2 linked regions of the Lonchura striata genome follow. The protein of the gene in region 1 purifies or fractionates together with the protein of each later gene. This does not show direct contact. Links are inferred from orthologs where the notes say so. Each region holds a gene or a part of one and is shown on either strand. Other genes may lie near its edges. The genes, in order: CHD1L and DNA repair protein XRCC1.

Region 1 (15,104 bases):
CACATGAAACTAGGCCCTAGCACCTGTGCAAAAACGTAGCAATGATCATGAGGCAGTGACGGAAGAGTGATCCCAAGGCTTTTGCAAATCACCCAACACAGGAGCTTCAACTTATTCTGTGTTCATACAGCTCTATGCAGAGAGTCCTCTAGCAGGCTGCAGTATCACTGGTGATCCAGTAGATGCACTAGGCTTAATTGAAACTCCACATCTTCTCAAGACCCAGTGTTTGTGCCTCCTTATCACTAGGGTTTCAACTTCCACATCGGAGTAATTTCCAGGGGAGGGAAAGCATGAACCTCCATCTTCTCTCACCCACACACTTCTCCTCCCAGTGGAATACAACATCTGAAACCACCGTGACCTACATTCTTCCTAAATAGCCTGTTTGCCTTGATTTTGCTCTCTGCTATATCAGAGAGGTTCTCCATTGCCAGAACAATCAAGTGTGTCATTACTCTTATTCTATGAGCTCAGGAGCTTAATTGCAGGACTCTGCACTGTGAAGCACTGCAGAACCTCATGTGCAGAGTGGAGTCTGATCCCCCATCTATTCCATTAGAGCATGGCTCTTGCTCAACTCATTTGTGCTGTTACACTGCTTGTAGGGAGTAGTGGTGGGGAGACATCTGATAACTCTGACCCTCCTTTACAAAGTGCTCCAAATGCTCCCACACAGAACAAGGTACAAATGATTAGCAACCACTTTTTTTCAAAAGAGAGACTAAAGGGCAAAACTCTGAATTTGAGTGATATGGCTTTGAGGTTATTTGTTAGCTTTAGAAATAGGAAATTACTTGGAGCTGACACTTTTGTGATACTAGGGCTGGCTACGTGCTCTCCCTGGGTGCTACATACCTAGGCTACACTTTAAAATAAACGGAATAATATGCGGCAATGCAGAACGTGATATGAAACTGTAAGGACAATACAGTCACGGCTATCTTTCATTAGACCTGGTTTCTACTATGATGTGTAGACAGTCTGCTACTTCCAGCAGTGGCCAAGGACAGGTGCTTTGCTGAAAGACAGGAGGGTGCCCATTGTAAGCCTGACTAGTCCTGACAGACACAAAATTGTGCCAGCAGGGGACACTGAATTTGTGCTTCTACAAAGATACTGAGCCATTCATTATGTACAGCTGCCCCCAGCATTTGTCATAGCACCATTGCGAGGCACTGGCACTTCTGCTAAGAAAAAAGGAAAATTCCTTCCCATTTCAAGTGCAGATGCCTGTGGAATTCTGCATAACCATGACAGTACCTCCTACAGGCTGAATTTCAGCTGAATAATCAGGCTTTGTAGAAGGTGTAATGTTTCACAAGCCCTCCACAGCTTTGACTGTGAGGCAATAAACTTCAGGACATGGTATTAGCACATTATCACTGTTATATAACGCAGGTCAGTTTCAGTGAATATTGCAACTAATACCTTTATAACTTGAAGCTCTTGAGGATATCCTCTGCTGGACTGATACTTAATGTACTGCTGTAAGTCACTGTGTCACATTGCTTTGAGTTAACTGGCTTGAAAACTGTCCTTGGGGGAAGTTCACATATATTTTAGCTGATATTAAAGACTGAAAGTTGGAAAAGACAAAATTCTGATCACAAGCCAATAACATCCCTGTCTCTTGTGAAACAACACAGAGTCTTACACATAGAAATATCCACTTAAGAAATCATTGACAGCTATCCAGACTTAAATTCAAAGAAATTAAAACCAGACTCACGACTTTAGAAATGCTGCATCTTTCAGGCAAATCTGCAATGAAAGAAAATGGACTGTGATTTGTGATTTAAGTAAATACATCAGTTAAGAAACAGAGCATTTTTCTGTCTGCCTGCAAACTATGGTGAAATGGAGCAGAGTGGAACGAAGGCACTTACTACCTGAGGAAGAAAAATGACAGTTACATGACACCTTCAGCATGTCATGGCTTAACATCACACACCCTCTCACTCACACCCCACCCATGAAGAGGGGGGAAGAGAATTGGAAGTGTAAAAGTGAGAAAACTTGTGGGCTAACAAGGCATGAACTGGGTGGTACAGAGGAATAAAAAAGGCTAGAAAAACTTGCGTCCCCCTTTCAAGTGACAAAGGCATCACGTACCTCGTATGTTGTCAGAAGTGTAGGGAAGTGAGAGTCCCCTTTCAGATTCTCTTGCAGTTTGGGTCGCTCTTCCTTGCTGCCTACATAGGATATGAAAGAAAGACCAGGAGCAAACCTGTTGTTAAGAGAAAGACAGAAAAAACAGTGAGCCAAGCTAAGTCTTTTCATGTGTTTATGACCCTGGACCTCACTGCACAGATGATGAGAATTCCTGTCCAAACACCCTACACTCCTGTGAGATGTGTCTGGCTCTCAGCTTTTGAATCTCACTCCTCCATAATTTTCACCTCAGGTTGGCACTTCCACTGTTGGCTGTGGTTTCAACAAGTCCTAAATAAACCTGCATTCTTTTAGGTGTAAGAGTCCAAGGCAGATGATTCAAAACCAGTCTCATGACCTAACTGCTATTCTGAACTGAAAAATGTTCATAAGAAGCAGGTGAATGAATACAGTTGGCCCATATAAGGCCAAAGAATTGGCCTAAATAATTCTAAAATAAAGACAAAAATGTTTGCAGCAAAGAGGTCCAAGTCAGGGTCTCAAATATATTCTCTCAGTCAAAAATCAGTTCCAATTGTAGGGACCATAAAATTTCTCCTAATTTAATCCCATCACTATTATTTACCTAATACTCCTTCTGGAAAGCTGCACTGTTGATCTATGAAGGACTGCAGTTTCTCCCAACTATTCCAACCCAAAATCTATCCATATCAGGCCAGCTCACTTCAGAATGTAACCTGCATGACTTCAGATGCAGAGAGACAGCATCAGCTGACAGCCACACAGACAGACTTCTGTTCTAACCTTTAACTTCTAGCCCTTCCTCTTACAAAGAGTCTGTGGGCTACAGACCAGAAATGTACATATTTCAGGCACAGCAGATACACATCAGCACTGTCACCCCAGTGAGGATGGGCTGCATGCACAGCTGTGATGTATTTTGATGTATTGTGTGTGATGTATTTTGTGTGCATATGTAAGCATGCCCCCAAACTTGGGTCTTACCTTTTATTATGAAGATTCCTAGCTGTCTTCAGCAGATTTTGCCTAAGAGAGGCTGAGCAGGGAGGGTTGCAAATCAATAAAAAGCAAGGAGCTAGTGGAAGCATTTAGACTGAAAGTCAGCCAATAATATAGGATGGATGGGTTCATGTATACCACAGCATTGTAAAGACTATGCATTAACTGCATAGTCTGCATTGATTTGTTGGCTTAGTAGCAGCTTCCCTTTTTACTTTCTTTCCCTTTGAAAGGATAAAAAGGAAGTATTGGAGTGAGCACATTTGAAAACAATCTCTGCAATCTTGCAACTTGCAAACCTTGCAATTGCAAGTATGAGCAATAATACAGTAAACCAGACAACTGTTGAAACTTACCTCTCCAGCTCTTCCTTCCAGTTGCTCAGAACTGACAGAGGACAAAGTATCAGAAATCTCTCTTTGTTTGATAACTTTTTTGTCAAATAAAGAAGTAGAGAAATGGTCTAAAAGGCAAGGAAAATATTTTTTTATAACAAGGGAAGGGTTCAACCCGATAGCCTGATCCTACATAGCTGTCTCCTTGCTGAGCTTTGCAGATAGTTTCCATAGGTTCATTATCACAAATCAGAGTTAAGAGAATATCAAGTGGGATACAGACAAAAAGGCTTAAATCCTAAAACATGACCTCCATATATGAAGCCCCTTTCTTGCACAGTCACAAACCTGGTCTACCATGCATCACTTTCTAAAACTATTTGTAATTTAAGCCCTATTGAATAAAATCAGCTGATCCAAAGCACAGTCATTTTCCAAAAAAACTTAAACCCACTGAAAAACTTTAAAAAAATCCAACAAACTTCTGAAAAAATTAGACTTATACATTTTAATCCATATGCTGACAAACACAAAAACCCCCTGGTGCAAGTGCATCAAAAGGACATTATTTTGCCTGTACTGGCTGTGTATTGTGCCTTCAGCTCTGCACACTATGAATTATGCATTAAGATGTTTGGATAAAATGGCCACTCGTCTTTTTACAAAACCCTGAAACCCATTTGGTGTTACACAGGACTTAACTCAGGACTGGTTTTAAGTGGTTAAGGACTGAAAGAGACAATGAGCTCTCACTTGAGTATGGAATTCTGAAGGAGTGGGGGGGAATCAGTAAGGTACTTTTTCAATTTGCAGAAATACTAAGCTAAAACCCCAAAAATTTAAGCAAAGATAATTTTCCAGAAGAAGAAGACACACCTGACAAGTCTTCCCAAGGCCCATCTCATCACCCAGGATACAGCCATGCTGGACTTCATAGCATTGCACCAGCCAGTTTACACCTTCTAATTGATAGGGACGAAGTTTAATGCCTGGGAATAAAAGTGATTTGTTACACTTACAGTCACTTAATGCATTCCATACACACACTAGGAACAGGTCCTGCCCAGAACATATGCCTTACAGGAAAAGCACAGCAGCATTCAGAAGAAGCTAGTTTACCTTCCTGGATAGCAAAGACCCCAATGTAATTGCAATTAAATTAAAGTATATTCAGAAACTTGCACAAAAATGCCCTGAGCCATGGCAGTCAAGGAGCCATCCTTGACTGTGCAAAAGACCTGACCTAGTAATTAGGCTGGTACTTTGCATTCCTAAAAGAAAGCTTAATTTTCAGCCTGAATCACTTTTTAAAATATTAAAGTAAGTATTAGAGCCAGGGACATGCTTTAGGCTACCAGAAATACTTCTCACAATCTATTATTGTATAATAATAATTTCTTAACAAGATGTTTTCCATTTTTCTCTACTTAAAGCCAAAGCAGACCTCCACTATAGGCCACTATGACTACTACCACCATTGCAATCCTTACTATGGGGCATGATATGTCAAAATGAATACAAAACAAATCACATAGGAGTTGGCAAGACCTTTCCTTGTGCTTGGACTCAAGTGCTGTGTATTCTGGCATTGCTGCCCTCTCCTCCCTGGGAAAATGTGCACACTGCGTGCATGAAGTAACTCACCAGCCCGCAGGCTACACAAACCCAAACCAGCCCAGGGACTGAGGTGAGGACTTCCAGCACCTAAGGAAAATGTGTGGGCAGGATGGATTGCCCTGGCGTTCCCCTTTAACATCACCCTCCAGGCAGCCGAAAGCACTTTAATTGACATCCACTTCCAGGCCACTGAATAGGCCAACCCTTGCTCACCTTATCCCCGAAGCACAGAGCTGCCTGAGGCTGTGCGGAGGCACCAGGAGGGTTTAAGCCAGGCTCAGCCCTGGCCCAAACACCACCTAGCCACAAAGCCAGGCAGAGGGACTACAGCACCCAGGGAAGGCTGGCACAGAGTATGGCAGCAATGCCATCTCTGCAGCAACTGCAGCTCACTTTGACACGCTTGGGAGCCAATTTATTTGCACCTTTATTTATTTCCAGCCTAGGGGGGGTGTTAGTACAGAGCTCAGACAACTCAGAGAACTGAGGTTGTCCAGGCTGGACAACAGAAGGTTTCCTGGTGACCTACTTGAGGCCTTTCAGGAACTTTCAGGAAAGATGGGCAAGACTGTTTACAGGAGCCTGCAGTGACAGGACAAGAGGGAATCTGTTCAAATTGAAACAGAATATATTTAGAATAGACATTAGCGGAAAAAAAATCTTTACTGTGAGGATGGTGAGCCACTGGAACACGTTGCCCAAGGAAGTTGTGGATGTCCCATCCCTGGAGGTGCTCAAGGCCAAGTCGGATGGGGCTTTGGGCAACCTGGTCTAGACGGAGGCGTCCCTGCTCACGGCAGGGGGGTTGGAACTGGATAATCTTCAAGGTCCCCTTCCAACGCCAGCCATTCAGTGAGCTGGGCAGCCCCAGGCAGCGCGGGCCCCTCCCGCCACCTCTGACAGCACCGCACCGCTCAGGCTCCCTGCCGCCCCTTTCCCCCGCTCCCCGCTGACCTGTCAGCCCCCACCGCTGCACGTCCGCCTCCTGCACGCCCGCAGCCCCGGCCCGGGCGCCGCCGGCGCGGCGGAGCGCCCGGGAGAAGCGGGACATGGCGGGGCGTCAGTCACCGCTCCGCCGCGCGTTCCCGCCGCCCGAGCCCGGCTGCGGGCGGGGCCAGCCCCGGCTCCGCCCCGGCAGCGGGAGGGCTCGCCCGAGGGAGCGCCGCGATGGCGCCGCTGCTGCTGCTGCTGCTGCTCGCGTCGCTGCTGTCCGCCGCCGCCGCCGCCTACCTGTGCTGCGGGCGGCGGCACACGGGCGGCGCGGCGGCCGTGCTGCACCGCCGGGGGCCGCGGCAGGCCGGGCCGCCGGGCCCGCCCCGGGACACCGTGAGCGCCGGGCCGGGCGGGGGGCGGCGGGCGCGGGGCGGCGGGGCCGGCGCTCACCTCGCTTCTCGCCTTCTCTCCGCAGTGGGCTCCGAGGCTGTGCGGCGCCGGGCTGCGCCTCTTCGTCCATGTGGCTAACACGGTGAGTGCGGGCCGGGGCAGTGAAACCCGGGGCCGCGCGGGGAGAACCGGGCGGGGGCTCCGGGGCGCGCCGCGGTGGTTGTGGCTCTCTGCGGGCTCTCGGGTTCACCGGGCTCTATAGGTGCGGTGCCGTGGCACTGCGAGCGCCGGCCTCTGGCTGAGAGAGTCCTGTGTGTCTTCGGGTGTGGAGAGCCCAAAGCTGACATCAAACTCGGAAGAGAGCTGCCGGCCGCGCTCCTTGGCCGCCGAAGGACTCGTGTCCCTCAGCCCTGTGAGGGGGTCCCTGCAGGCTGCTGAAGGCAGCGGCGCTCCCCAAGGCTGGGCTCTGGATGTCCGGGAGCCGGCGGGCTGATCCCGCTGCGGCACTGGGCCTCTCGGTGTCGTGGTGCAGAGGGGACAAAAGTCTGCATCCCCTGCGCACTGCCCACCTCGCACCTGCTTCTGCTGGCAGCAGCTGGGTCTATGCCTGCTGCTGTTGCTCGGCCTTTCCTTTTGAGCGAAGTAGGCACAAAAGTTTCTTTTCAGCCGTGGCACCTGTTACAAAGCTTGGTGTCCGTCTGGGCCTGGCGTGAAATGCTTGATGGGCTGTGTTTATTTGTGAGAATACCTTAGGAGTGGCTTTCTGTCAAGATGTAATAAGCAGAGTACTTTGTTGTCTTTCGTTTTGTGGCTGCTTCTGATGCATGGCAGAGGGCTTCTTTCCTTTCCCAATACCTCACTTGAAGGGGAATGTGAGATGTTAATTTTCCTACTGGATTGTGCTGTGCTAGGTCAGATGTAGATTAGGAACCATGTGTTTTCAAAAAGGTCTGTAATTCTTATGCAGTGCGTGAGGTGACGTGCTGCTTTGTGGGACTGGCAGTGTGAGCCTTGCCTCAGACTTGTACTGTATTTGTACATCGTACAACATGTATCTGAAGTCCATTGTTAAGATATTAAGACAGGCCAGAACAAGGCTGGTCTCTTTGGGACTGTTGATGCTGCTACTCTGGGAGCCAGGGTATGGAAAGATTGTTTTCTGCTGTCTGCTACCATAGAGTTTCTAAATTTCTCACACTTTTCCAAGTTGACTCATGTTACTGTGGGAGCTGGTTGAGAGATAGGCAAGGTCCTAATAGTAAATAAAATAATAAGCTCCTACCTTATCCAATGTTTGCATAATCTGTGGAACATGATGAAAATAACGGATGGGAGCTATATAGATGCTTCTTAACAGTGTTGCATCTGCAGATGCAGGCTTTCTGTAGATGCAGGGAAAGATAAAGGCAGAGGAATCAGAAGAATACTCTTTTTATAATTATATAAATATGAGCAGTGGAGGGAAAGTGTTTCAGGCCATTTTTTTGGTGTAGAATACAAATGTTTGTGCTGTTTCTCTACTGCATAGCATTGTATGTTCTCTAGCGTACTCTGAGCCTGTGGCAATCATGAGCATATTCAGCATTCCTTATCTAGTGAAAGAAGGTGTCAGGTCAAAGTTGCTGCAAACCAACATTTTTGCTTCCTTTTTTCCTAGGCTTTTGGGCAGATTTGCTTATTGCCATTCTTAATGAGGTAAGCATGGGGACTTTTCTCCCACTCTGAGTTTCTTATTTTTTTAGGTTTAAGGTATTTGCATTGCACACTGCTTGTAGGTTATCTGAAATTGTATTTTTTAAAGAGAAGAGCTGCATAATTTGATTACAGAATAAGATTACTTCATAGATGTTTGCTAGATTATTTTTTTAACTACTGTCATTTGAGTGGGTCTCTATGAGAAGAAAATAGCTTTTTTCACACTCATGCAGGTGCATAGAAACTGTATTCATCAGCTTTTCTTTTTGCCTTTTGTTTGCCTTCATGTCTCTTTGTCTTTGCTCTTTTGTTAAAGGACAGTCTTTTTTTCAAGGATGGTGGATGTGCAAATATGCTGTTCTTATCACTGATAGGGTTAAAAGAATAGTAGTAGTGAGAAAGTGAGGCCAGACATAAAGTTCAGAGGTTTTGGTGAGTTCTTTTTAATTATGTTCTCTTGTTTTAGGTCAGCTTTTCTTCTTTCTTTCATATGTGTTTTTGTTCAGAAACTGATTTCAAGAACACATTCCATGAAGAGATACTTGGGTAAGAGGTTCAGGAACCTCTTCATGCTTTGTTCGTATAGTTTGCCCATCATTTGAAGGGTCATCTGTGCAGATCCCAGGACACTGAGAACTGTGTCACCCCTGAATTTGACTTGGGATGTGGGCTTTTTGAGCAAATCAAATCCAGGCAAGTGTCACTGCTATTATACTGCAGATCATTCCTGGATACCTGTGACAGGGTTTTGATCTCCTTGCTTTGCTATGGATTTATGCTGCAAGCCCTGTTGTATTTGGTTGCAAACAAATTATGTTGAAAGAGGAAATGGAAAAGTCTGAAGAGGTGCTTGTTTTAACAGGATTAGTGGTTGAATGTATGGCTTACACTACATTCTTCTTTTATTTTCCTTTCCATTCCTGTCTTGTTTGGTCTGTGTATGAGAGGTCTAATTAAAGTGAATCAAAAACTTCCACCGTTTCTTTCCCAGCTCGAGTTTACAGAGCTTTATGTCAAGAGCCTTATATCAAGAGGTAGGAGGCTTTGTTAAACAGGCAGAATAGATTTGATGCTGCCCTTAGGAAATATGCAAGAGAGATTAGCTTGTAGCTGTTGCAACTCCCTGCTGTGAAAGCAGGCTGCTAAGACAAAATGTTCTTGGGTAAGGTTCCTTCTGAACAGTCTGAAAAATTAGTCATAGTTGAGGTTGAAAACTCCAGCAGTGATTCTCTCTTATTCAGAATGAACAACTTCTCGCTTATGCGTTCCCTTGACATTCATGAAGATCCCACGTTTATCCCGGAGGTTGCTGCGGGGGTTGCAGAAGACAAGTCTGAGGCTAAAAGCCCTTCAGATGTTATCAAGGAGCTGACAGATGCAAGGTCAGTATGTGATGTGTAAGAGAGAAGTGGAGATGAATACACATGCTGGCAGTGGTACTTTAATGGGAAGCTGTCATTGTCAGCAATTTAGATTAAATTCTTGTTTCCATGCCCAGCCACTTCACAAAACAAATAGTGCTGTCAGTCATCTTGCCTTTTGTAACTTACAAATCACCAGCAATTACAAGCAATGCGAAAGAGAAAAGTCTATTGGGGAGAGACCAAATTCTGCCCTTACCAGGGCTCTGGTTGCACGATTACAGCAGGTACACTTAGTGTTTGGCTAGTTAGTAAATAGATTTCTCTAAGTGACTTTACAGGAGTGCTGTTTCTAGCCTCCAGGGAATCTCAAAGAGAACACCAGGTTTTCTTGGAGGAGAGAAGGAACACAGGTTCTAAAGAAAATAATGCACAAGAAATTAGCTTTGTTAGTGATGAGAAGTGGCCTACTGTTTATGTGCTAGAGCCATTTGGTGTTGAAGCAGTTTGCTTGTGTGTGCTGCATGGTGCCTTTTCCCACTCCTGCACTACACACCCAGATGTGCTGCTGGCTGTCTCGGGATTGAATTTTTGACAGAGGTCTGGGAGTAGGTTCAAAAGTATATTCCAGCTAGGCTATAGTGTTGTAGTGGTGAGTAGGAAGTGTAAATCTGGAATACATTTTGAACAGTTTAATGACTGCTGTATTTCAGTAGGAATATGAAGAAACTAGAACATTCTGGCAAAATTGGTCCCTTATTTCTGTGGCATCCATAGTGTGCCTGTTGCCTGGCTTGTGTGCAAGGAGTCTGACAGAGTGTGAGGGGCAATGCAGGGGTTAGCAATTCACGTGGTTTACTGTGAATGGTACCCAAATCTGCATTGGACAGTGATGCTGAAGTCTACAGGTCTGAACAAACCTGGCTTTGGTGGCTCACAGTTACACCTTTTAATCCTTTCTTTTGCAGGTCTGATTCTGCTAGGAACGGGTTTAGCTTCAAAGAGATCAAAGACTATCTGGAATGCTACCGGTAGGTGAAATTATGGTCTGGAAACAACCTATCCCACATGTTTCTCTGCTGTGGGCTGCCACTGTTCCACAGGCTCTCAGGAATCTCTTTGTTAGCATTGTCCTTGAGGTGCCATTGTTTATCATCACTTCCTGCTGTTCTTTCCCTTTAGTAGAATAACAAAGGAAAGTCATCTGGGAGAGCTGGCACAGCTTTATAAGCCCTGCAAGAATATTTAAATACCATTTTCTTTGGCTTACTCTCTGTCAGTCTTGTTCGAGAGAGATTTCTACATATCTTGTTTACTCAAACATGAGTGAGAAGTAGATGAGGGTTGATCTGGATTATGCCAGTTGTGCATACTGTGGGTCTCTGATGAATCCCTTGGTTCCCCAGCTCCCTGTGCGTCTCTGAGCATGACACCTGCTTTCACCCAGTAAACATGTCCAGCTTGGAAAGAGCTGAAAACACCCCCCTGACTCTGGGGTTCTGTGAGCTGTTGGCTGCCTGGTAATCCTAGTTGCCTCTGGGGCATGTGCCAGAAGTGGAGCCCTTGGAAAAATATCCTTGCACTCCTAGAACTTGTTCCTCAAGGGCCACCTCTGCCCAGGCTGTGGCATTGGAGCAAAGGGCTGACACTGCAGTCTGCTGTTACAGGTGCATCTTGGCTGTGAGGCTTTTGTGTCAGCCAGGAATGGTGTGTTTGTGGTGTAGCAGTCTTTGCCAGGAGGGAAGGAAGGTTTATTAAAGGTGGGTTATGACAGTACTGCTGGCAGCCCCTTCTGTGTAATGGGAGGCCTGTATAAAGGGGTCTGACCTCTTGGTCTTAGCTCATTATATTGGGAGTTTCATAGTTTCCAAGCTTTCAGGAGCTTGAGGACTGTCAAGCTGTCAGCTGTGTGTCCCTGTTTATCTGTGGTGGTTCAGGAACATTTAGGTTAAACTCACCTAGGTTTTCCCCTCCTCTAAGGAGCATTCTGTGTAGGCAAATTATCCCCTTAAGGAAAGGAATCTCCTGTCCTGATGTTGTCAACAGTGTTCAGATCATCACCACACAGAGATTCTTACCTAATTCTTGCTAAAAGCTGTGACAGCTGCCATCTTGCTGCATGGGAGACAAACCCTGTGAGTGGATATGTGAGGGGAGGTCTTATAACAAACTCCCAACTTCTCCTGTCCTGTAGGAGTGGGAAGCTGACGCCATCCCAGGTAGCCAAGAACATCATTGCCATGTTGGAGGATTGTGACAAATCCACGCCACCGCTCAGAGCCATAGTGCAATGGGACCAGGAGCAAATAATGCTGGTAATGTCTGCCTCTGGTAGGAAAGGGGCCTCTGCCACCCCAAGGGCAGTAGCATCCATAAGAAGAGCCAGTATGCACAGAAAAATAAGTAAATTTTTCATTCCTCTGTGTTTAGAGGACTACAACAAGTTTGCTTTCCTTCCTGCAAAGAGAAGTAGCATTAAAGCAATGTTTCCTGCTGAATGACTGTTTATAATAGGACTTCTGTGCTTATGTGGCATCTATTAGTGTAGATAGTTCCAAGTTGTAGTTTCTCACCAGCATATGGTGGAAGAAGAAAACTTTGATAGGCTGGCCAAGAAAGCCATTTTTAATATCCATTCCAATACTGATTATGACCTTCAGCTCAGTGAAATATATATATATATATATATAGCATATGCTTTATGCTTTTTCTTTTTCTCTGCAGATGGCTGAGGCCTCCACTACTCGTTACAGAAATAAGTGTACCCTGTCTTGTCTGGATGGCATCCCAGTGTGCCTGAAAGAAGAGTTCAAAGTGGTGAGTTTCCTTGTCTAGCTGCCAGCTCCTGTTGCAGGTGGTTAACCTGGGCAACTCACTGTGACAAGGTTTTGAGACCAACTTCTCAGCAGAAGCCTGAGAATATGTTTGTAATGAGGGGTTGTATGTGGGTTTGTAGTGAGTAGGATTAACAAGTTTTGCAGGGTGAAGGCAGATTTTGCATACAGCAGACGTGTTCCATATCTTGTACTGATCTCTTTAATCCACAAGGAATAGAGGGTGGGTGTGGGAAACAGTCTCTTATGATGAAATGAGAATGTATAAAAGCATCTGTACAGTGGGTGTAACTGTCTGTATTTCTCAGGCCCTGACTCCACTCCACTGGCAAAGCATCCCTGTCCCCTTAAAATACATGTGCCAGAAATACGCAAGTTCCTTTGAAAATTCCCATTGACAAAGATTTTTACTGTGGCCTAACAACAGCTAGCAGTAACTACTTGTGGCAGTGCCATCAGGCTGTTGTAGGCTCTGCAGAGACCTACCCCTATGGTGGGTGTCCTGTTTATGTACAGATTCTTCTGTTGCTGCCTCGAAGTAGAGTAGTTAGCACATCCTGAAAATAAGCCCATCTGTTGTTTTGGCATTCAACTAATCTTGATGTCAGGCTTCAAAGCATGCAGATCTGAAATGCTGTAGCTCTGTCCATACAAAGATGGAGCACAGAGCTGTGTGCTGTGGGGCCAAGTTGATCTTCAGCCTCTGGGCATAGCAATTGCATTGCTGCAGGGAGGCAGCTTTGATCATCCACATGCTCTACTGTATCATGGTATGAAAAGGACTCCTCTGCATGGGAGAATGACCAAATATTGAAGGTTTAAGTGTCCCTTCTGACAGAGACCATCACAGGACAAGCTGAAGAGTGGTGCTGCCTAGCCCTTGCTTACCTCCATGGGTCCTAATGTCTGGGATCTGTTGTGATGTTGGAGTGTGCATGTGCTCCTTTGGCAGGGTTTTATAATTAATAGTTAGGTGTCTTCTTGCTAAGGTGCCTTACCATCACCGAGTGGGAACAGTGTATCTTGGGACACAGCCAGAAACAGAAGATGCTACTGTGGCCAAGAAGCTGCGAGAGGCTGGGGCTATCATTATTGGGGTCTCAAACATGCATGAACTAGGGACTGGAACAACTGGATGCAACCCTAACAGGTAAAAATCCCTGTCTTCTCTCTTCTCCCAGTCTAGAAATACCTATGACTGTCCAGAATTCCCAGGTAAGGGTACAAAAATAAGGGGAATCATGACAGAACCCTGAGGGTATGAAAACCCAGTACTGTAGATTTGAGGGTTAGAGTAGCTGTGGAAGCCTGAAGGCTCTTGAAACCAAAGGAAGGAGAGGCTCCAAGTGTTGTCTGCTGAGTAAGGAACTTAGTTTGTCAGGCTCTTACGGGCCTGGAGGTGTGAATGTTTATAGTATGAGTGGTACACAAAAGCTGTGACAGAAAACAAATACTCATGTAATGCTCAGCCTCAGTGATGGCTGAAGGCCTAGAACATGGAGAAAAAGGTACAGTCATCTCAGGAGAACATAGTTGTTTTACTTCCTAGCTAAAACAGGCTCACTGGATTTGCTTTACTTTGGTGAATTCTCCAGCTATAGCCAAGCTGAGAACTCGGCTCCAGAGCAATGGTGCTGATGGCTTTGATAAGCCTTGTGTAGAGCCACACATGGTGCATGTGCAGCTGGGTGGAGCTAGGGCTCCCCCTGGGCTGCAGCAGCGTGCCAGCATTTCCAGCATTTCCTCACCGTGGGAGGGCAGCTGGATACCCAGTGGCTTGGCAGGGCTCTGCTGGCTGGGGCTGTGGTCAGCCTGGAGACGTGGGGAGCTGCTGCTTGGGGATAAAGGGCAGAGCTGACTTTATTGTCTGTAATGATTGCTGGCCACCAGCTGCTCCACCTTTTGGAATTGCATCATGCACTGTGGCAGGCAGTCATGGCGCAGTGCCATTGCCAATAGAAGAGCTGAAGCAGCATCTTTTCTCATACTTTGGTCCTCTTTTGGATGGGCTGCTTATGCTCACAGGAGATTGGATTCTGAGGCAGAAGTCTTTTTTGCATCCTGTTTTCTAGGGACATGGCACTTTCTGAAATTAAATGGCGTCTCTTTACAAAGAGATCAGAATCCCTGAGCTTTGTTTCTGGATCTTTTCCTGCCCTGTAATGCACACAGTCCTCCTAAAAAAAGGTTAAACTATTTTTGTCTGCTTCAGGTACCACAAGATCCCTAGGAATCCCTACAATCCTAACCACTTTACAGGTGGGAGTTCCAGTGGGTCAGCAGCAGCTGTAGCAGCAGGTAGGTGGTCCTAAATGGAGTTGGTGGGAGGAAGGTCCTGAGCCAGAGTACCTTAGGCATTTAGTATTTATGGGGGGGGTTGGGTTTAGCAGCTAGAGGGAACTTGTAGCTGAACAGAGAGCTCTGTGTGCTGTCTTGGATACAGCTGCTGTTAGAATGGACAAGACAACATGTTGTGTCTCTGATCACAGGCCAATGTGTGGGTTTTTTGTAGGTCTCTGCCCCGTGGCTATTGGCACAGATGGAGGAGGCTCTGTGAGGATTCCTGCTTCGTTCTGTGGTGTGGTGGGCCTAAAAGGTAGAGCCCTTTAATCATGGAGGGGTGTGTGTTTGTCTTGTTTGCTGTTCCAGATAGAATGCCACAAACACGTTAGATACTTATTAATTCCTGTGAAGTAAAACTTGACCAGAGAAACTGAAATATAACACCCTGAGAGTCATGAGGGTTAGACTGGCAGCATGGAAATATTCTCTACTCTTCGTTGAACACATGTTAAAAAAACCTA
Region 2 (15,052 bases), on another chromosome or scaffold:
CCCAGGTGTATTTTGGGGTCCTCCACGTGTATTTTGGGGTTCCCCAGGTGTGCCCAGGTGTGTTTTTCAGGTTCCCCAGGTATACCCAGGTGCATTTCGGGGTCCCCCAGGAGTGCCCAAGGGAAGGTTTGGAGCCCCCCAGGTGTGCCCAGGTGTATTTTGGGGTCCCCCAGGTGTATTTTGGGGTCCCCCAGGTGTGCCCAGGTGTATTTTGAGGTCCCCCAGGTGCATTTCGGGGTCCCCCAGGTGTGCCCAGGTGTGTTTTTCAGGTCCCCCAGGTGTGCCCAGGTGTATTTTGGGGTCCCCCAGGTGTATTTTGGGGTTCCCCAGGTGTGCCCAGGTGCATTTCGGGGTCCCCCAGGTGTGCCCAGGTGTATTTTGGGGTTCCCCAGGTGTGCCCAGGTGTATTTTGGGGTCCCCCAGGTGCATTTCGGGGTCCCCCAGGTGTGCCCAGGTGCGCCTCACCTGTGTGACGTCACTGCTGCCCTGCAGCGCGGCCGAGGCGTAGCTGGGCCCGGGGGGGGCCTGGGCGGGGGCTGGGGGGGGAGGGGAGACCGTGAGGGGTGGGGGAGGGGCTTACCTGGGTGGGGGAGGGGCTGTATGGGGAGGGGGAGGGGCTGAATGGGGAGGGGCTGTATGGGGAGGGGCTTACCTGGGTGGGGGAGGGGCTTACCTGGGAGGGGCTTACCTGGGTGGGGGAGGGGCTGTATGGGGAGGGGCTTACCTGGGAGGGGGAGGGGCTGTATGGGGAGGGGGAGGGGCTTACCTGGGAGGGGCTTACCTGGAGTGGGGGAGGGGCTTATCTGGGTGGGGGAGGGGCTGTATGGGGAGGGGGAGGGGCTTACCTGGGAAGGGGAGGGGCTCACCTGGGGTGGGGGAGGGGCTTATCTGGGTGGGGGAGGGGCTGTATGGGGAGGGGGAGGGGCTGAATGGGGAGGGGCTGTATGGGGAGGGGGAGGGGCTTACCTGGGAGGGGGAGGGGCTTACCTGGGGTGGGGGAGGGGCTTATCTGGGTGGGGGAGGGGCTGTATGGGGAGGGGGAGGGGCTTACCTGGGAAGGGGCTCACCTGGGGTGGGGGAGGGGCTTATCTGGGTGGGGGAGGGGCTGTATGGGGAGGGGGAGGGGCTTACCTGGGAAGGGGCTCACCTGGGGTGGGGGAGGGGCTTATCTGGGTGGGGGAGGGGCTGTATGGGGAGGGGGAGGGGCTTACCTGGGAAGGGGCTCACCTGGGGTGGGGGAGGGGCTTATCTGGGTGGGGGAGGGGCTGTATGGGGAGGGGGAGGGGCTGTATGGGATGGGGGAGGGCCTTACCTGGGGTGGGGGAGGGGCGGCGGTAGAACAGGGCCCCGGGGGGGCGCCGGGGGCTCCCCTCCCCCTCCTGGCGCAGCGTGAAGGGACCCAGGCGGCGGCGCTGGGGGAGGGGCACGGCGGTCACTCGGGGTCACTCGGGGTCAGGGGTCACTCGGGGTCACTCGGGGTCACTCAGGGTCACTCGGGGTCACTCGGGGGTCACTCGGGGTCACTCAGGGTCACTCATTGGTCACTCATTGGTCACTCATTGGTCACTCACTGGTCACTCATGGTCACTCATGGTCACTCAGGGTCACTCAGTGGTCAGTGGTCACTCAGGGTCACTCACTGGTCACTCAGTGGGTCACTGGTCACTCATGATCACTCATGGTCACTCATTGGTCACTCACTGGTCACTCATTGGTCACTCTGGTCACTCAGTAGGTCAGTGGTCACTCATTGGTCACTCACTGGTCACTCAGGGTGACTTGTGGTCACTCTGGTCACTCATTGGTCACTCACCGGGGCCGGGGGCGGTTCCTCGCCCTCCTCAGGGGCCGCGAACACCCGGATGAAGGCGAGGCCGTAGGGGCGGCTCTGGGGGCGGGGCCAACAGGTGAGTCCTGACCAGGTGACCCTGACCAGGTGACCCTGACCAGGTGAGTCCTGACCAGGTGACCCTGACCAGGTGACCCTGACCAGGTGAGCCATGACCGCCCCCCCCCCAGGTGCCCTCCCTGCCCCTCAGGTGAGCCCTGACCCTCCCCAGGTGAGCCCTGACCCTCCCCAGGTGAGCTCCTCCCCCTCTCAGGTGAGCCCTGACCCTCCCCAGGTGCCCTCCCTGTCCCTCAGGTGTGCTCTGACCCCACCAGGTGAGCCCCAGGTGCCCCCTGCCCGCCCAGGTGTGCTCTGCCCCTCCCAGGTGAGCCCCAGGTGCCCCCTGCCCCCCCCAGGTGTGCTCTGACCCCCTCAGGTGAGCTCCAGGTGTCCCCTGCCCCCCTCAGGTGCCCTCTCAGCCCCCCCAGGTGAGCCCCAGGTGCCCCCTGCCCCCTCCAGGTGAGCCCCAGGTGCCCCCTGCCCCCCCCAGGTGCCCCCTGCCCGCCCCAGGTGCCCCCTGCCCGCCCCAGGTGCGCCCCAGGTGCCCCCTGCCCCCCCCCAGGTGCGCCCCAGGTGCCCCCTGCCCCCCCCCAGGTGCGCTCTGACCCCTCCAGGTGCGCCCCAGGTGCCCCCTGCCCCACCCAGGTGTGCTCTGACCCCCCCAGGTGAGCTCCAGGTGCCCCTTGCCCCGCCCAGGTGCGCTCTGCCCCCCCCAGGTGCGCTCTGACCCCTCCAGGTGAGCTCCAGGTGCCCCTTGCCCCGCCCAGGTGCGCTCTGACCCCTCCAGGTGAGCCCCAGGTGCGCCCTGCCCCCCCCAGGTGCGCCCCAGGTGCCCCCTGCCCCTCCAGGTGCCCTCCCAGTCCCCCCAGGTGAGCCCCAGGAGCCCCCTGCCCGCCCAGGTGCGCTCACCTGGCAGTAGGGCTGGCTCAGCACCACCTGCAGCCGGTCCCACCTGGCCGTGGGCGTGGCCGGACGCTTGACCAGCGCCTCGGGCCCGAAGAGCCGCACCCGGCCCGGCCCCGCCCCCGCCCGGCTCTCGCTGGGCGACATCAGCGCCGCGCTGGGCAGCAGCACCTGCGGGCACAGGTAAGGCTCAGGTGTGCCCAGGTACCCCCAGGTGTGCCCAGGTATGGTTTAGGTGTGCCCAGGTACCCCCAGGTGTGCACCCACCTGTGCCCAGGTAAGGTTTAGGTGTGCCCAGGTACCCCCAGGTGTGCCCAGGTGTGTTTTTGGGTGCCCAGGTGTGTTTTTAGCTGTGCCCAGATGTGTGTTTTGGTGTCCCAGGTGTGCCCAGGTGCCCCAGGTGTGTTTTTGGGTGCCCGGGTGTGCCCAGGTGTGTTTTTAGTTGTGCCCAGGTGCCCCAGGTGTGTTTTTGGGTGCCCCAGCTGTGCCCAGGTGTGTTTTTAGCTGTGCCCAGCTGTGTTTTTGGGTGCCCAGATGAGCCCAGGTGCCCCAGGTGTGTGTTTGGGTGTCCCAGGTGTGCCCAGGTGCCCCAGGTGTATTTTTGGGCACCCCAGGTGTGCCCAGGTGTATTTTTGGGTGCCCCCGGTGTGCCCAGCTGTGTGTTTGGGTGTCCCAGGTGTGCCCAGATGTGTTTTTAGCTGTGCCCAGGTGTGTTTTTGGGTGCCCCAGCTGTGCCCAGGTGTGTTTTTAGCTGTGCCCAGGTGTGTGTTTGGGTGCCCAGGTGTGTTTTTAGCTGTGCCCAGGTGTGTGTTTGGGTGCCCAGGTGTGCCCAGGTGCCCCAGGTGTATTTTTGGGCACCCCAGGTGTGCCCAGGTGTGTTTTTGGGTGCCCAGGTGTATTTTTAGCTGTGCCCAGGTGTGTGTTTGGGTGCCCAGGTGTGCCCAGGTGTGTTTTTAGCTGTGCCCAGGTGTGTGTTTGGGTGCCCAGGTGTGTTTTTGGGTGCCCAGGTGTGTTTCTCGCTGCGCCCAGGTGTGTGTTTGGGTGCCCAGGTGTGCCCAGGTGTGTTTTTAGCTGTGCCCAGGTGTGTGTTTGGGTGCCCAGGTGTGCCCAGGTGTGTTTTTGGGTGCCCAGGTGTGCTCAGGTGTGTTTCTCGCTGTGCCCAGGAGTGTGTTTGGGTGCCCAGGTGTGCCCAGGTGCCCACGGGCTCACCTGGAAGTCGCCCCCGGCCGAGGAGCCCAGCAGCACCTCCACGAAGGCGGCGCCGTCGTTGCCGACGTGCAGGGAGTGAATGGGGCGGGTGTCACCCAGCTGGGGGAGCCACCAGTATAAACCAGTATAAACCAGTACAGACCAGGATAAACCAGTACAAACCAGTACAGAGCAGTATGAACCAGTACAGACCAGTACAAACCAGTATAAACCAGTACGGAGCAGTATGAACCAGTGCAGACCATTTCTGCCCCACTCAGGAGGAGCCTCCCAGTTCCCTCCCAGTCCCTCCCAGTTTATCCCAGTCCCTCCCAGTTCCCTCCCAGTCCCCGCCAGTCCCTCCCAGTTCCCTCCCAGTCCCTCCCAGTCCCTCCCAGTTCATCCCAGTCCCTCCCAGTTTGTCCCAGATTATCCCAGTTCAGCCCCACTGCCCTCCCAGTTGGTCCCAGTTTGTCCCAGTCCCCTCCCACTACATCCCAGTAACCCCCAGTCCCCTCCCAGTGCCCCCAAACCCCCTCTCAGTCACCCCCAGTCCCTTCCCAGTCCATCCCAGTTTATCCCAGTCCATCTTAATCCCCTCCCAGTTTATCCCAGTTCCCCTCGATGCCCTCCCAGTCCATCCCAGTCTCTCCCAGTCCATTCCAATCCTCTCCAAGTGTATCCCAGTTACTCCCAGTCTATCCCAGTCCCTCCCAATCCCCCCAAACCCTCTTCCAATTTATCCCAGTCCCCCCCAATCCCCTCCCAGTTTATCCCAGTCCCTCTCAATCCCCTCCCAGTCCACCCCAGTTCATCCCAGTCCCTCCCAATCCCTTCCCAGTCTATCCCAGTCCTTCCTAATCCCTTCCCAGTTCATCCCAATCCCCTCCCAGTTTGTCCCAGTCCATCCCAGTCCCCCTCAATCCCCTCCCAGTCCCCGCCAGTCCCTCCCAGTTTATCCCAGTCCCCTCCCAGTTTATCCCACTCCTCTCCCAGTCCCTTCCCAGTTACTCCCAGTCCCCGCCAGTCCCTCCCAGTTTATCCCAGTCCCTCCCAGTTCATAGTTCATCCCAGTCCCAGTTCATCCCAGTTTCCTCCCAGTTTATCCCACTCCTCTCCCAGTCCCTCCCAGTTCATCCCAGTCCTCTCCCAGTCCCTCCCAGTTCATCCCAGTCCCCTCCCAGTTTATCCCACTCCTCTCCCAGTCCCTCCCAGTTAACCCAGTCCCCTCCCACTTTATCCCACTCCCCTCCCAGTCCCTCCCAGTCCCTCCCAGTTACCCCCAGCCCCACCTCCAGCACCACGCTCAGCTGTTTCTCGCCCGCCGCCGCTCCCCTCCACTTCCCGCCATCCTCGGGCCGCAGCAGATTCTCCGCCGGGTGCCGCTGCGGACGCACCGAACCCTCAGAACCGAGCCCCGGTACCGCCGAGCCCAGCCCGGCTCCTCCCGAACCTCCCCGGGACCCACCGGGTCCGCGCTGGTCACCGACACCACCCGGGCGAACGGGATCTCCGCCATGAGGGCCGCGCCGGAAGTCCCCTCAGAGCGGCACCGGAAGCCGCCTCAGCGCCGCACCGGAAGTCGCCTCAGCGCCGCACCGGAAGTCGCCTCAGCGCGCCCTCCCGGGCCGCTCTGCTCCGCGCGACTCTGGGGCTCCATAGCGCGCGCCCATTGGCTGCGCGCATGCGCGGGGCGCGCTCTACCCGCGCGTCCTCCCAGCGGAGTTTTTCCCGCCTTTTTCCAAGCGCGGGAAGCCGTGAGGGGAAAGGAAATAATTAAACCTCCGCCAGGGTAATTAAGCTTCATTAATCCTTAGGGAAAGGCAATTAATCACGACTTGGCGCTAATTAAGACAAAGAAAAGGCGCTTTGGGCTGTTTATTAGCGCGGGGGGAGCCGCCTCAGAGCCGTGAGGGGAAAGGAGATAAGGAAACCTCGGCGAGGGTAATTAGGCGTCATTAATTAACGAGGGGGGTCGTTAATGAAGAGCAGCACGAGGCTCCCAGTGCTCCCAGTTTATCCCAGTAAGCGGCCGTACTCAGCCAGGGCTGAGGATTTCTTCACCCCGTCCCAAATGCGGGCGGCGTAGTGGAACCTGCACCAGTATGGACCAGTATAAACCAGTATATACCAGTATAAACCAGTACGGACCAGTATAAACCAGTACGGACTGGTACAGGTAATGAGCACCCTCCCAGTTCCCCCCAGTTCGCTCCCAGTCCCCTCCCAGTTTATTCCAATCCCCTCCCAGTATAAACCAGTAACCCCGAATCCCCTCCCAGTATAAACCAGTCCCCCCAAATCCCCTCCCAGTATAAACCAGTAACCCCAAATCCCCTCCCAGTATAAACCAGTAACCCCGAATCCCCCTTTAACCCTTTCCCAATCCCCTCCCAGTTCCCCCCAGTCCCCTCCCAGTATAAACCAGTCCCTCCCAATCCCTTCCCAGTTGCTCACAGTCCCCTCCCAGTCCCTCCCAGTATAAACCAGTAACCCGAAATCTCCATTTAACCCTCTCCCAGTTCCTCCCAGTCACCCCCAAACTCCTCCCAGTCCCTCCCAGTATAAACCAGTAACCCCAAAACCCCATTTAACCCTTTCCCAGTCCCTCCCAGTATAAACCAGTACCCCCAAACCCCCTTTAACCCTTTCCCAACCCCTCCCAGTCCCCTCCCAGTATAAACCAGTTACCCCAAATCCCCTTTTAACCCTTTCCCAACCCCTCCCAGTATAAACCAGTGCCCCAAACCCCCTTTAACCCTTTCCCAGCCCCTCCCAGTCCCCCCCGAAGCCCTCCCAGTATAAACCAGTCTCACCAGTTGCGCTCGGTCAGCAGGCTGTGGGATAACTGGGAGCGCGCGGCCGCCAGGACCCTCCCCCGCAGCCGGGCCAGGAGCCCCCCCAGCCCCCCCCGGCCGCGGAACGGGGGCAGGGCCGGGAACAGCGCCCCTCCCCCACCTGCGGGGTTCGTACTGGTTTGTACTGGGATAAACTGGGAGGGACGGGTTTATACTGGGTTTGGACTGGGAGGGGGTTTGGGGAGCACGGGGAGGGACTGGGACGTACTGGGATGGACTGGAATGGACTGGGAGGGGGTTTGAGGGGGCTGGGGTGGGTTTGGAGGGGATTGGGGTAGACTGGGATGGACTGGGATATACTGGTTTATACTGGTTTGGACTGGTTTGGACTGGTTTATACTGGTTTGAACTGGTTTATACTGGTTTGGACTGGGACGGGGTTTGGGGAGCACCGGGATGGACTGGGCCATACTGGGATGGACTGGGAGTGGGTTTGGGGGGGGTCTGGGGTGGGTTCAGAGGGGACTGGGATATACTGGGCCATACTGGGATGTACTGGGATGGACTGGGAGGAGGTTTGGGGGGTCTGGGGTGGGTTCAGAGGGGACTGGGGTGTACTGGGATGTACTGGGCCATACTGGGATGTACTGGGATGTACTGGGATGGACTAGGAGGGGGTTTGGGGGGGATTAGGCTGTACTGGGATATAGTGGGCCATACTGGGATGGACTGGGATGTACTGGGAGTGGGTTTGGGGGGTCTGGGATGGGTTCAGAGGGGACTGGGCCATACTGGGATGTACTGGGCCATACTGGGATGGACTGGGATGGACTGGGAGGAGGTTTGGGGGGTCTGGGATGGGTTTAGACCGGACTGGGCTGTACTGGGATGGACTGGGAGGAGGTTTGAGGGGTCTGGGGTGGGTTCAGAGGGGACTGGGCTGTACTGGGTTGTACTGGGGTGTACTGGGCCATACTGGGATGGACTGGGATGGACTGGGAGGAGGTTTGGGGGATCTGGGGTGGGTTCAGAGGGGACTGGGCCATACTGGGATGTACTGGGATGGACTGGGATGGACTGGGAGGGGGTTTGGGGGGAATTAGGCTGTACTGGGATATACTGGGCCATACTGGGATGGACTGGGAGGAGGTTTGGGGGGGTCTGGAGTGGGTTCAGAGGGGACTGGGATGTACTGGGCTGTACTGGGAGGGGGTTTGGGGGGGATTAGGGTGTACTGGGATATACTGGGCCATACTGGGATGGACTGGGATGTACTGGGATGTACTGGGCTGTACTGGGATGGACTGGGAGGAGGTTTGGGGGGTCTGGGGTGGGTTCGGAGGGGACTGGGCCATACTGGGCTGTACTGGGCCATACTGGGATGTACTGGGCCATACTGGGATGTACTGGGCTGTACTGGGATGTACTGGGAGGAGGTTTGGGGGGTCTGGGATGGGTTCAGAGGGAACTGGGGTGTACTGCGTTGTACTGGGCCATACTGGGATGTACTGGGAAGGGGCCCAGGGTGCCCAGGGGCTGTCTCTGGGGACCCGCACTGGTCCGTACTGGTCCGTACTGGTCCGTACTGGTCCGCACTGGTCTCACCTCGGGGCAGGGCGTCCTCGGGCTCCTCCTCCAGGGGCGGCAGCAGGAACAGATTCACCTCGGGCTCGGGGGGGGGCCCGGGGGGGAGGGGAGGAGCTCCCGCATGGACAGCGAGCCTGGGGGGCCAAAATCACCCCAAAATTATCCCGAAATTATCCCGAAATTATCCTGAAATCATCCTGAAATTATCCCGAAATCATCCTGAAATTATCCCGAAATTATCCTGAAATCATCCTGAAATTATCCCGAAATTATCCCGAAATTATCCCGAAATTATCCCAAAATCATCCTGAAATTATCCCAAAATCACCCCAAAATTATCCCAAAATTATCCTGAAATTATCCCGAAATTATCCTGAAATTATCCTGAAATTATCCCAAAATCATCCTGAAATTACCCCGAAATCATCCTGAAATTATCCTGAAATTATCCTGAAATTATCCCGAAATTATCCCAAAATCATCCTGAAATTATCCTGAAATTATCCCAAAATCATCCTGAAATTATCCTGAAATTATCCCAAAATCATCCTGAAATTATCCTGAAATTATCCCGAAATTATCCCAAAATCATCCTGAATTTATCCTGAAATTATCCCGAAATTATCCCAAAATCACCCCAAAATTACCCCAAAATCATCCTGAAATTATCCCGAAATTATCCTGAAATTATCCCAAAATCATCCTGAAATTATCCCAAAATTATCCCGAAATCATCCTGAAATTACCCCGAAATCATCCCGAAATTATCCCAAAATCACCCCAAATCACCTCAAAAATCGCCCCCAAAATCACCCTAAAAATCGCCCAAAATCACCCCCAAAATCATCCTGAAATAATCCCAAAATCATCCTGAAATTATCCCAAAATCATTCCGAAATTATCCCAAAATCACCCCCAAAATTACCCCAAAATCACCACCAAAATCAGCAAAAATCTCCCCAAAATCCCCCCAAATCCACCCCAATCCCCCAAAATCCCCCCAAAATCCCCCCAAATCCCCCCAAATTTCCCCAAATCCCCCCAAAATCCCCCCAAAATCCCGCAAATCCCCCCCAAAATCCCCCCAAAATCCCCCAAAATCCCCGAAAATCCCCAAATTTCCCCAAATCCCCCAAAATCCCCCCAAATCCCCCAAAATCCCCCCCAAATCCCCCCAAATTTCCCCAAATTTCCCCAAAATCCCCCAAAATCCCCCAAATCCCCCCCAAATTTTCCAAAATCCCCCCAAATCCCCCCCAAATCCCCCCAAATCCCCCCAAATCCCCCCAAATCCCCTCAAATCCCCCCAAAATCCCCGAAAACCCCCAAATCCCCCCAAAATCCCCCAAATTTCCCCAAATCCCCCAAAATCCCCCAAATCCCCCCCGAAATCCCCCAAATTTCCCCCAAATCCCCCCAAATCCCCCAAATCCCCCCAAATTTCCCCAAATTTCCCCCAAATCCCCCCAAATCCCCCCCAAAATCCCCCCAAATCCCCCAAATTTCCCCAAAATCCCCCCAAAATCCCCCAAATCCCCCCAAAATCCCCCAAATCCCCCCAAAATCCCCCAAAATCCCCGAAAATCCCCAAATTTCCCCAAATTTCCCCAAATCCCCCAAAATCCCCCCCAAAATCCCCCAAATTTCCCCCAAATTTCCCCAAAATCCCCCAAAATCCCCCAAATCCCCCCAAATCCCCCCGAAATCCCCCAAATTTCCCCAAATTCCCCCAAAATCCCCCCAAATCCCCCAAATCCCCCAAATTTCCCCCAAATCCCCCAAATCCCCCCAAAATCCCCCCAAATCCCCCCAAAATCCCCCCCCAAAATCCCCAAATTTCCCCAAATTTCCCCAAATCCCCCCAAAATCCCCCAAATCCCCCCAAATCCCCCCAAATTTCCCCAAAATCCCCCAAATCCCCCCAAAATCCCCCAAATTTCCCCAAATTTCCCCAAATCTCCCCAAATTTCCCCAAATTTCCCCAAATTTCCCCAAATCCCCCAAATTTCCCCAAATTTCCCCAAATTCCCCCAAATTTCCCCAAATTTCCCCAAATCCCCCAAATTTCCCCAAATTTCCCCAAATCCCCCCAAATTTCCCCAAAATCCCCCAAATCCCCCAAATCCCCAAAATCCCCAAATTTCCCCAAAATCCCCCAAATCCCCGTACCGCGGTACTTGAGGCGCGAGTGCGCCATCAGGCGCCCGAGCACTCGCTGCATCTGCCCCACGCGCCGCGGCGAGAACGACTCGGGGGGCGCGCGGGTCTGCACGAACACTGCGGGCAGGGGCACACCTGGCACACCTGGCACACCTGGCACACCTGGGCACACCTGGCACACCTGGTAACCCCAATTCCACCCCAAAAAAACCCAAAAATCCCCTAAAAAACACCCAAAAATCCCAAAATCCTGGGGCTGTTTTTAGCCTGGGGTGGAGAGAACTGATCTGGGCACACCTGGCACACCTGGGCACACCTGGTAACCCCAATTCCACCCCAAAAACCCCAAAAATCCCCTAAAAAACACCCAAAAATCCCAAAATCCTGAGGCTGTTTTTAGTTTGGGGTGGAGAGAACTGATCTGGGCACACCTGGCACACCTGGGCACACCTGGCACACCTGGTAACCCCAATTCCACCCCAAAAAACCCCTAAAAAAACACCCAAAAATCCCAAAATCCTGGGGCTGTTTTTAGTTTGGGGTGGAGAGAATTCACCTGGGCACACCTGGGCACACCTGGCACACCTGGCAGCCCCTAAAAAACCCCAATTCCACCCCAAAAAACCCAAAAATCCCCTAAAAAACCCCAAAATCCTGGAGCCATTTTTAGTTTGGGGTGGAGAGAATTCACCTGGGCACACCTGGCAGACCTGGGGAGGGTCAGGAACTATGGGGCAGATCTGTGGGCCAGATCTATGGGTCAGGATCTATGGGGCAGGTCAGGATCTGTGGGTCTCACCCAGGTGTGGGTCAGATCTATGGGTCAGGATCTATGGGTCAGGTCAGGATCTGTGGGTCAGATCCGTGGGTCTCACCCAAGTGTGGGTCAGATCCGTGGGTCAGATCTATGGGTCAGATCTATGGGTCAGGTCAGGATCTATGGGTCAGATCCGTGGGTCAGGATCTATGGGTCAGGATCTATGGGTCTCACCCAGGTGTGGGTCAGGATCTATGGGTCAGGATCCATGGGTCAGATCCGTGGGTCAGGATCTATGGGGCTCAGATCAGATCCATGGGGCAGGATCTATGGGTCAGATCCGTGGGTCTCACCCAGGTGTGGGTCAGATCTGTGGGTCAGGATCCGTGGGTCTCACCCAGGTGCGGGTAATACTCCGAGGGCTCCTCGGCTCCGGCCCCGCTCGACTCGTGGCTCGGCGACGGCGTCGGTGGCTTCACCATCTCGGCCGTCTGCAGGAACCTGTGGGGCAGTTATGGGGCACTTGTGGGGCACTTGTGGGGCGGTTTGGGGCACTTGTGGGGCACTTTGGGGTGGTTGTGGGGCAGTTTGGGGCACTTGTGGGGCGGTTTGGGGCACTTGTGGGGCACTTGTGGGGCAATTTGGGGCAGTTTTGGGGCGCTTGTGGGGCACTTTGGGGTGGTTGTGGGGCGCTTGTGGGGCACTTGTGGGGTGGTTTGGGGCAGTTTGGGGCACTTTGGGGCAGTTTGGGGCACTTGTGGGGCAGTTTGGGGCACTTTGGGGCAGTTTGGGGCACTTGTGGGGCAGTTTGGGGCACTTTGGGGCACTTGTGGGGCGCTTTGGGGCAGTTTGGGGCAGTTTGGGGCACTTTGGGGCACTTGTGGGGCAGTTTGGGGCACTTGTGGGGCAGTTTGGGGCACTTGTGGGGCGCTTGTGGGGCGCTTTGGGGCAGTTTTGGGGCGGTTTGGGGCAATTTAGGGTCACTTTAGGGTCATTTTTGGGCAGTTTTGGGGTCACTTTGAGGTCAGTTTTGGGCTCATTTTGGGTCATTTTGGGGTCAGTTCTGGGGTCACTTTGGGGTCAGTTTTGGGTCAGTTCTGGGGTCACTTTAGGGTCACTTTTTGGGTCACTTTTGGGGTCACTTTTGGGGTCATTTTGGGTCATTTCTGGGTCACTTTAGGGTCATTTCAGGGTCATTTTTGGACCAGTTTTGGGGTCACTTTGGGGTCATTTTGGGTCAATTTAGGGTCAATTTTGGGGTCACTTTTGGGTCAGTTTTGGGGTCATTTTGGGTCACTCTTGGGTCAGTTCTGGGGTCACTTTGGGGTCATTTTGGGTCATTTCTGGGTCACTTTAGGGTCATTTCAGGGTCATTTTTGGACCAGTTTTGGGGTCACTTTGGGGTCAGTTTTTGGGTCAATTTAGGGTCAGTTTTGGGATAATTTTGGGGTCAGTTCTGGGGTCATTTTAGGGTCAGTTTTGGGATAATTTTGGGTCATTTCTGGGTCACCTTTGTATCAGTTCTGGGGTCACTTTGAGGTCACTCTTGGCTCAGTTCTGGGGTCACTCTGGGGTCACTTTTGGGCTCGTTTTGGCTCATTTTTGGCTCAGTTCTGGGGTCACTCTGGGGTCACTCTGGGGTCACTTTTGGGCTCATTTTGGCTCATTTTGGGTCACTCTGGGGCCCTTTGGGTCTCACCTGTAGAGCCCCAGGTCGGTGAACCAATCCTGCACCAGCAGCACCACGTGGCACACGGTGAACAGGAAGGCGGCGATCTGCAACGACTGCGCGGGGCTGCTCATTAGCATAATCTGCATATCCAGCGCCTCATTAGCATACCAAGACCCCGCCCTCACCTGCGTCTCCACGTAGGCGTGGGGCAGCGCGAACTCCGGCGGAAGCTTCCGGTCGTTGTTGATCAGGTGATCCAGGTGGGCGGGGCTGAGGATGGGCTGGGGGCGTGGCCAAGAGGGGCGTGGCCTGTGAGGCCACGCCCATCCCTCCCGGTATGGTAATGAGGGGGCGGGGAAAGGGGGGGGGTCGGGTAATTAGGGGAGTGGCGGTAGGTAGGGTAATTATGGTAATTGGGGTGATTACAGTAATTAGGGTATTTACGGTAAATGGGGTAATTATGTTAATTAGGTCAAAGATGGTAATTAGGGTATTTACGGTAAATGGGGCAATTATGGTAATTAGGCCGAAGATGGTAATTACGGTAATTGGAGCAATTAACGGCAATTGGGGTAATTACGGTAAATGGGGCAATTATGGTAATTAGGTCAAAGATGGTAATTAGGGTATTTACGGTAAATGGGGCAATTATGGTAATTAGGCCGAAGATGGTAATTATGGTAATTGGAGCAATTAATGGCAATTGGGGTAATTACGATAAATGGGGTAATTATGGTAATTAGGTCGAAGATGGTAATTAGGGTAATTATGGTAAATGGGGCAATTATGGTAATTAGGGCGAAGATGGTAATTACGGTAATTGGAGCAATTAACAGCAATTGGGGTATTTACGGTAAATGGGGTAATTATGGTAATTAGGCCGAAGATGGTAATTACGGTAATTGGAGCAATTAATAGCAACTGGGGTAATTACAGTAATTAGGGTGATCATGGTAATTAAGCTGAAGATGGCGATTGGGTAATTACGGTAAATGGGGTAATTACAGTAATTGGGGTAATTATGTTAATTAGAGTAAGTAGGGTAATTGGGTAATTACGGTAAATTGAATCATTGGGGTAAATACGGTAATTAGGCTATAAATGTGGTAATTACATCGATTGGGGTAATTAAGGTGATTATGGTGATGAGGCTACGTGTGGCAAATTGAATAATTGGGGCAATTCTGGTAATTGGAGTAATTCTGGTAATTAACTTGATTATGGTAATTTGCCTGGTTATGGTAATTAGGTTAGATATGGTAACTACAATACTTATTTAATTAAAGTAAATTAAATCATTTGGCTTATTACAGTAATGGAGATAATTATGGCAACTGTGATTATGGCGATTAAGATCTACTGCAATCTATTATTATAATTACTGCAACACTGTTAACGACACAAAGTTAATTAAGCACAACTAATCAACTTTCGGGCTAATTTCGAACAACATTCGTGCTAATAATCATCATTTTCACAAACATTAGCGCTAATTAACGGCAGTTAATCCCAGATACTGGTTGATGGGGGGAGCTGGGAGGTAATGAATATTAATTAGCGCTAATTAGCGTTAATTACCTGGGTGTCCAGGAAGAGCACGCGCTCCTGGGTGACGAAGAGGTCGATGCCGCCGGTCTGGGCCCCGCCGCGCTCGCGGAGCTCCGGCGGCTGCGGCCGGAACACGAACGAGCTGCGGGACCAGTTCGGACCAGTATGGACCAGTATGGACCAGTATGGACCAGTACGGACCAGTACGGACCAGTATGGACCAGTGAAAACCAGTACGGACCAGTACGGACCAGTACGGACCAGTATGGACCAGTATGGACCAGTATGGACCAGTATGGACCAGTATGGACCAGTACGGACCAGTATGGACCAGTATGGACCAGTATGGACCAGTGAAAACCAGTATGGACCAGTACGGACCAGTAAAAACCAGTATGGACCAGTGAAGACCAGTATGGACCAGTGAAAACCAGTATGGACCAGTATGGACCAGTACGGACCAGTATGGACCAGTACGGACCAGTACGGACCAGTATGGACCAGTATAAACCAGTGAAAACCAGTATGGACCAGTGAAAACCAGTATGGAC

What was found.
Region 2: the proteins of CHD1L (region 1) and DNA repair protein XRCC1 purify together in Homo sapiens (affinity purification with mass spectrometry; 3 studies listed by BioGRID and IntAct, counting the BioPlex papers as one, with this or other methods). This does not show direct contact. The link is inferred for Lonchura striata from reciprocal best matches to the Homo sapiens genes CHD1L and XRCC1.

What each region holds. Positions count from the first base shown.
Region 1 is NC_134604.1:26,874,433-26,889,536, reverse strand, and holds the start of CHD1L (chromodomain-helicase-DNA-binding protein 1-like), read right to left. Parts: upstream 6,176-15,104; 5' UTR 6,139-6,175; coding exon 6,042-6,138; intron 4,460-6,041; coding exon 4,347-4,459; intron 3,599-4,346; coding exon 3,492-3,598; intron 2,231-3,491; coding exon 2,116-2,230; intron 1,765-2,115; coding exon 1,733-1,764; intron 1-1,732. Other genes in the region: uncharacterized protein LOC110480871, read left to right, coding at 6,255-6,413, 6,496-6,552, 8,068-8,105, 9,347-9,487, 10,435-10,497, 11,661-11,781, 12,191-12,283, 13,290-13,450 and 2 more. UniProt on the Homo sapiens protein: ATP-dependent chromatin remodeler that mediates chromatin-remodeling following DNA damage.
Region 2 is NC_134639.1:71,508-86,559, reverse strand, and holds the start of DNA repair protein XRCC1, read right to left. Parts: upstream 5,640-15,052; coding exon 5,579-5,639; intron 5,520-5,578; coding exon 5,272-5,519; intron 4,100-5,271; coding exon 4,001-4,099; intron 2,963-4,000; coding exon 2,798-2,962; intron 1,889-2,797; coding exon 1,814-1,888; intron 1,413-1,813; coding exon 1,313-1,412; intron 804-1,312; coding exon 782-803; intron 741-781; coding exon 689-740; intron 537-688; coding exon 466-536; intron 1-465. UniProt on the Homo sapiens protein: Scaffold protein involved in DNA single-strand break repair by mediating the assembly of DNA break repair protein complexes. Negatively regulates ADP-ribosyltransferase activity of PARP1 during base-excision repair in order to prevent excessive PARP1 activity.